2 linked regions of the Daphnia pulex genome follow. The protein of the gene in region 2 binds, or shares a complex with, the protein of the main gene of each other region. Links are inferred from orthologs where the notes say so. Each region holds a gene or a part of one and is shown on either strand. Other genes may lie near its edges.

The links.
Region 1: mitochondrial import inner membrane translocase subunit TIM50-C-like (region 2) and mitochondrial import inner membrane translocase subunit Tim23-like share a complex: the UniProt entries of both Homo sapiens proteins name them as parts of the TIM23 complex. The link is inferred for Daphnia pulex from reciprocal best matches to the Homo sapiens genes TIMM50 and TIMM23.

The regions. Positions count from the first base shown.
Region 1 is NC_060025.1:1,871,092-1,874,299, reverse strand, and holds mitochondrial import inner membrane translocase subunit Tim23-like, read right to left. Parts: upstream 1,682-3,208; 5' UTR 1,558-1,681; coding exon 1,524-1,557; intron 1,459-1,523; coding exon 1,209-1,458; intron 1,150-1,208; coding exon 873-1,149; 3' UTR 787-872; downstream 1-786. Other genes in the region: phospholipase A2-like, read left to right, coding at 2,259-2,422, 2,485-2,645, 2,723-2,882, 2,951-3,100, 3,169-3,208. UniProt on the Homo sapiens protein: Essential component of the TIM23 complex, a complex that mediates the translocation of transit peptide-containing proteins across the mitochondrial inner membrane.
Region 2 is NC_060024.1:13,320,220-13,324,041, reverse strand, and holds mitochondrial import inner membrane translocase subunit TIM50-C-like, read left to right. Parts: upstream 1-1,520; 5' UTR 1,521-1,564; coding exon 1,565-2,158; intron 2,159-2,231; coding exon 2,232-2,351; intron 2,352-2,423; coding exon 2,424-2,531; intron 2,532-2,595; coding exon 2,596-2,851; intron 2,852-2,919; coding exon 2,920-3,023; intron 3,024-3,085; coding exon 3,086-3,178; 3' UTR 3,179-3,233; downstream 3,234-3,822. Other genes in the region: transient receptor potential cation channel trpm-like, read right to left, coding at 16-495, 615-621; serine/threonine/tyrosine-interacting protein B-like, read right to left, coding at 3,822-3,822. UniProt on the Homo sapiens protein: Essential component of the TIM23 complex, a complex that mediates the translocation of transit peptide-containing proteins across the mitochondrial inner membrane. Has some phosphatase activity in vitro; however such activity may not be relevant in vivo.

The sequences.
Region 1 (3,208 bases), on a different chromosome or scaffold from region 2:
GAGCCTATTCAACACCGTTGGGAATGTTGTGTTCTAAATCTTCTCCAAGGTTGAAGCTTAACTCAAGTTGATCATCAAATACCGTGTCTCCGTGTCGACCGAGCAGTAAAACTAGAACAATTAAAAGGGAGAAAAAGTAAACTATTGTTTAATTTTCACTTTAAATAATTCAGTCAAGGAAGCATACCTTCAGCAACAAGCACCTTTTCATTATAGGATTTGAATGACTTTAAGGTTTGATTTATAATTCCTCCATCACTTGCTTTGGTGAGATCTTCTATCTTTCAACCTAAAGACAAATATAAATTACAGAATTTATATAAAAATGAACAGTGTGGATCTAACCATACCTCAAACATCAGCAATTGGCATTTGAGATGAATTTTTAGGTGGACTTCCATTTTCACCGTAAGCATAATTGGATTAACAAGACAAGACTGCACACTTCAATGGTATTTACTCCAGTAAGGTCTTGCATGTCTTTTTTACACTACCTGTAGAGAATTACATTTAAAAATGTCAATAAAAAAGACATGAAAATTCCAATGAAAAAGACATGACGAAGAACTATCACTTGTCAACAACACGGCCGGCTGCTGGTACTAGGCGCGGCCCTTCCCCGTAGTACCCAAGGCACAGGCAGTGACTTCAAAAACAAAAGACTGCTGTGAGGCGCGATCCTTTTCCAGTGTCCCCCTAGCGGCAGGGGCCAATAGCAATTTTGGCTATTGGCCCCCGAAATCCGGGGGCCAATAGATTTTTCCTTAAATATTTGTCACTCGATGATAACAAAAAAAACTAACGTTTATTGGAGAACTTTACAGTAAACACTAGGTGACGTTGACATAGGTATGATTCAAACAACCTAAAATTCAGTTGCTAGTCCAGCTAGTAAGTTTTTCTCTTGAGGTGAATGCACAATATGCCAAAGCTAGAGCAAGACCACCTGCTCCACCTTTCATGCAGCTTTTCAGACCTGAAGTTGATTTATATAATAAACCAGTAGCAGTGGCAGCAGCTAATGTATTGATTTCATCCTCAGTATCCCTTATCCAGTTAAGGCCAACTCCAAAAGCACTGTACATCACAGCAACAACACCAAGAGTATTTGCTGTTCCAGCTCCTTGCTTCATAACATAGTTGATCAATCTGAAATTTAAATATTTCATCAATAGGTTAAATACATGGATAAGATATTGAATAAGTACTGTGTTCTTCGAAGCTTTCCAGTGTGACCGGCTACTGCTGTGTCTTTGATTCCTCTCACAAGACCAGTAACACCTCCAATACCTCCACCGATCATGCACATCCCACCTATCGAAGAAAATGCTAATTCAAAACGTCCTCTATGGCGACTAGCTCCTTCGGGAAAGATGAATTCTGGTTGACTACTCTGCAAGTATGATGGATCGAAGTTCAGATACGGTGAAAGGGGGGCCAAGTTTCTGTTAGAATACACTGAAAATTCGATATTTTAAATTATGACAAAAGTGATAAATACTAAAATTTAACTTCTAATCTACCTGATGAGTTTAAGTCATTCTGTCCTGGGTCCATTTTTATGAAAAATTACTTCAAAATGGTTAGAAAATATTATGAAACCAGCACCGGCCGGACCTGTCGTTTGGGAAACGTGGATCGTCTGCAAGAATCAACTTCTCTGTTGCCAGATTATTTTTTAACAACTACCGTTTCGGCGTTTCCCCCCCCCCCCCAAAAAAAAAAAAAAAAAAAAAAAAATATATAAAAAACATTAGATCGATAAACAACCAGATAAACTCTTTAGTATTAAACTACTACTGGATCATCGGAAACATACGTAAGGTGAAAAAACAGCGCAATAATTACGCAATAGCTCAAGATTTTACTTTTAACCTTTGTGAGCATTTTTGGGGAAAAGAAAATGAAAGTAAAGTATGTAAGTATCGCATATTTGGGATTTAAACTTGAAACTGCTTGAAACCCCCTTCTTCGTTATTAGGGAACGGAAAAAAAACCAGGTAGCTACATTTTAAACCTAAAGTTTCGTAGACTAAAGGGAGAGTAGTACTAAAAAAGTTTCCCAAGAGAGGATGAAATAAAGCCAAGACAGTGTACCCACAGAAAGCGACACGAACAGAAGCAGGTCATCCATGCTCCCTACAATAAGCTGGACGACTTGACAACGGAGACCAATTTTTTAAGTGTTCAACAGTCGTCGCCGAATATTCAGTGGTCTCACAACGCAGTATTGATTTAGGAGGAAAACAAACTAAAATATGATTCTCATCATAGTCTTGTCTCTTTTGCAAGCAATTGTTGCGCTTGTTTCCAATTCCACAGGATCAAACGAATTATTTGTTCTAGATGGGCATCCGCGTGGCAGAAGGGCTGTGCTCGTGAACAGTGACCCCAACGAACCTTGTCGAATCTACGGCCATAGGTACGTGTTAACCTTCACGATTCCAACCCTCACAACGCCTCAAGGGAAAGTTCTTTTTTTAGTAACCCCATACAGGTTATTGAAAATCTACCGGACGGTCCAAGACTCCGAACAATCAATCAACAAGAATGGTTGACAATTGCCGCTGATTGTCAACAGCGTTTGCTCACTCTCAATCAGAAGCCGACCACTGCCAACAATCAGATAGATTTCATTTACCCAGGTAAACAAAATGAAAAAAAAAAATACATTATTAGTCCAATTGAATTTCAAATAACAGTTCGTTTGATACCCAAACAGGCACCAAATGGTGTGGAACAGGAGACGTTGCGAATAATTTTAAAGATCTAGGACCACATGCCGCCACAGACATGTGTTGTCGAGATCACGATTTTTGTCAAGACACTATGAAGCCTGGAACTTGCAAATATGGTTTGTGCAACACCTCAGTCTTCACTAAGTACGTTTTCCTACAGTAAATGTTTTGTTCACTGTAGTTCTAATAAAAATCCAAACTTTTCTTTAAAGGTCCCATTGCGATTGCGACGACCGATTTCGTCAATGCTTGCTAAATGCGGCGAATGACCCAGCTAGTGTTCCAGTGGGTTTCATCTATTTTGACGTTGGTTTTATAAGCTGTTATCGCCAGACACCTGACTGCGTCAATAAAGTATTCAGGTAAGATGCGCAATTTTGTCCGAAAGACAACTTTTGAGAGACCTAATGAAATTGAAATAATCACGCAGGGAACCAATAGAACTAACTAGGCGGAAGAAACGACAAAAT
Region 2 (3,822 bases):
AATGTTAATTAGTACCCGTAGTTTTAGCTGCTCGAAGGAGTCCCTCTTTGAAGACGAGCTTGAGTCGTGGATTAAGTTTAAAATTAACTTTGCCACCGTGTACGGAGATGACAAGTTTAGGTAATTCAAGTCCCCATTCACGGGTCAGCAGTTGAAAAATATGGTCGGTGCCTGAATCAAAGCCCAGCCGGATGAATTGAGCTTTATTGGGATGTGGGCCGCCCAAGAAATCGATGGTGCCATAAGAGTCGGTTGGGCTGCTGACAGTATGATGGGCAGGGGACCAAACTTCTTCCGACACGCCAACATTTTTGATTCCGTGAGTCTTGTGATACGTCCACGTTCGGCCGCAAGTACACAGTGGGCCTTTGTCGGAGCTGCAAACGTATCTGGAGCATTCTCGCTTGCAAAATGTTGATTCTATCCAGCCTGGATGACCCGGAGGAATCGCAAAAACGACGCCACTTGCAGACGTTACAGCCAGTTGATTTTCCTCTATATGGGTAAAAGAAATAAAAATGGTTTACTTATTTAACAAAGTTTTAGCATTAAATTAGAGAATTTCATGTGTAAAAATTAAATACAAAAAAAGCGGCATTTTGAAAACAACTTACCAATCATGGCCGAACGTGTTTGGACTCAGTCATGAGAAACTATAGACTACCTTAGAATCTTAAATTCAAGTGCACCCGTTTCACCAGCATTGAACTAGTTTTAAGGTACGTACACAACAAACTGACATGCAGTGATAAGTAGTTTTGACGAAGGTCGAACCTTAAAAACAATCACACAAGATGAAGCAATAACATCGTATGTAGCAATATTTGGACTTCAGATTAGAAGTCTTGGATTAACTCATACTTGGCTTTTCACAAAAGGATCGGTCGACGTTACCGTCTGGGAAAAGTCAAGGAACGGTATGAAATTTCACTACAAGTCTGGAAAGAATGAGCTTCACTGAGATGAGAGAGCAATTATTAAAGAGGACTTTACACGATAGCGGCAATAAAGAGGTTGTTGATCCTCGATAAGTTGTATGTTATCAACAAATTAATCCTGCATTTGCGCATTCTTTGCATTCATATCACATGTAACCGATTGCATCGCGGTGATATCAAGTAGCATTAGAGACCCCGACACACTCACTAATAAAACGTTATTGAAAATGTCGAAAACGAAACTACAAGGTTAACTTTAACTATACCAAGATAATTCAGTCAAGTATGAAATCCGAATGTAAATAAAACCGATAAAATGTTACCTTCTACAGCTGAACACTTTTAACATTTTCCATTTGAGACGAAGAAGTATCGCGGCGGCAATAATGCAAGGCCATTCAAAAATAAGGCATGAAAATATGAATGCAAAATCTCTTGTTCTCAGCATCCTGCACTCACAATCGTAATCGCAATATACCGCGTTTAGATTTTACAGACCCATAGGAATTAGGAAATAGATTTTGGATTTTTGAATTTTTTTACCCGACGGTTGGAATAAAGAAGCAATCTGACAACTACACAAATGTTGCAGAAGATTCTTGAGAAAATTAAAAATATCAAGAAAAATGGCTGCCTCCAGATATGTCACGAGTTTCGTAAAGTTATCTCAAATAAGTGGTACAAAATTGACTTGTGGAAATTTTCACAGACTAGTGACAATTCCCCAAAATGTGCTGTGTCAACCAAAGCAAATAAGTAACATTCTCTTAGCTACCAGGCACTTACAGTTTAGGTGTTACAGCCAAAAGTCCGACAGCAGCAACGAGACACAGACGACGACGGCGAACAAACCGGCTGCAGCTAGTCCAATATTAGGTTCATTTCAAGGTATGGGAATTGCAGGAGAGGTTTTAAAGTCCCAAAATGAAACCGAAGGAAAGCTGAAGTCTTCTCCACCTGGCCAACAACAACAAAACAACAGTGAAGAAGATGAAGAAGCCAAAAAGAAAAAGGAAGCAGAGGCTAGTTGGAGAACTATGAAATACACACTTATTTTCTTTGGAGTAACACTAAGCGGCCTAAGTGGTTACATTGTTGGCACATGGGGAGCACCAGAGAGAGATGAAGAGGGCAATGTGATAGAAGACCAATTCAGCTCAAAACCTCTGGCACTACAATATATCCTTAGGTCATGGAATGCCATAATGAACTATAGTCAAGTAAGCATCTCTGACTGTCAGATTTTTAAAACATTTCAATTAATTTTAATATTGTTTTTGGCTTTCTTTTCAGATGATTAGAGACCCTTCAAGAGATAAACTTTTACCTGATCCTCTGAAAGAGCCATATTATCAGCCTCCTTACACATTAATCTTGGAAATGACTGGTGTTCTAGTCCACCCAGATTGGACAGTAATTAATCAGTTGAACTGTATGCATTTCAAATGAAACATCATAATCATTTGCTCTCTCTCTTAATTTCAGTATCAAACTGGTTGGAGGTTTAAGAAGAGGCCAGGAATAGATTTTTTTTTGGCACAAGTGGGTCCACCCGCATTTGAAGTGGTTGTCTACACGGCTGAACAAGCCTTTGTAAGTACCATTTTTAAATTTCACGTTCTCGGTACAAAATAATTAAATTTCTTTACCTCTTTAGACGGCCTTTCCCATATTAGACGCCTTGGATCCCAACGGTTACATCATGTACCGACTCTTCCGCGACGCTACTCGGTATGTTGATGGTCATCACGTGAAAGATCTTGACTGCATCAATCGCGATCCATCAAAAGTGATTGTCCTCGATTGGAACACCCAGTCAGTCAAATCGCATCCTCGTAATGCACTTAGAATTAAAGAATGGAAGGGTAACGATGATGACAGGACCCTTGTCGACTTGGCTCTACTATTGAAAAGTAAATGTCCTTCTAAGAAATAGTATGAAAAAAATACTAATGAAGTAACGCATTTTACTGGTGAATAGCAATTGCTACGTCAGAAGTCCAAGATGTGCGAGAAGTGCTGGATTTCTACAACCAATTCGACGATCCTATCGAAGCATTTCGGGAAAATCAACGGAAACTTCAAGTAAGTGTAAATCCATCATCCAATTCTTAAATTTGTTTTTACCCAATTTTGTTGCTGTGCAGGAACAACAGGAACTGATGGAACGAATGAATCAAGAGAAACAAATTCTACCAGCTACATCTGTTGCCCGTGGTCTATTTGGTCGGCGATTTTGATTCAGCAAGTCTCGTTTCTAGTATATTAATTCGAATAAATCACCGATCGAAAGTTTCTGAAAGAAAAAAAAATACTCTTATCATTGGGTCGAGGCACAGCCAAGAACGGGAAAACATTTTGTCCCATATTTTATACAGGATGTCAACCGTCCATATAAAGCGTCGTCGATACCTACTGTCTCGGTCGTTTTCAAGTTCTTTACTCTTTTGAGCAATTGTTACACTTCAGTTTGCGCGGTAGATGGGTTCACATTCCTTCAAGTGTTGAATAGAATCTGTAAATATTCCAGTGAACTCAATCGCAATAGTTTAAACAAATACTTTACCTTCGTTGGACTAAATAAAATGCTTCGACGGTAATTTACACTTAGATTAGTTGTTGCAATACAATTGAAGATAGAAACTTAAATACCGTATCGTATGGGAGTATTTAGGTAAAATATTAGGTGCTGGATTGATATTCCTAGACTGCATTGAATTATTAGTCGTCAAATAAATGGATTAAAGCTTTGGACCGGTAATCGACTTAAAAAGATTGCAAACCATTTGAAAATCACTTGTTTTATTCCTTCAAGGAACAGTCAAGAAAAAATTGTGCAGCATACGCAAAACGTTTTTATTGATTCTCATGTCGGATAACGCGT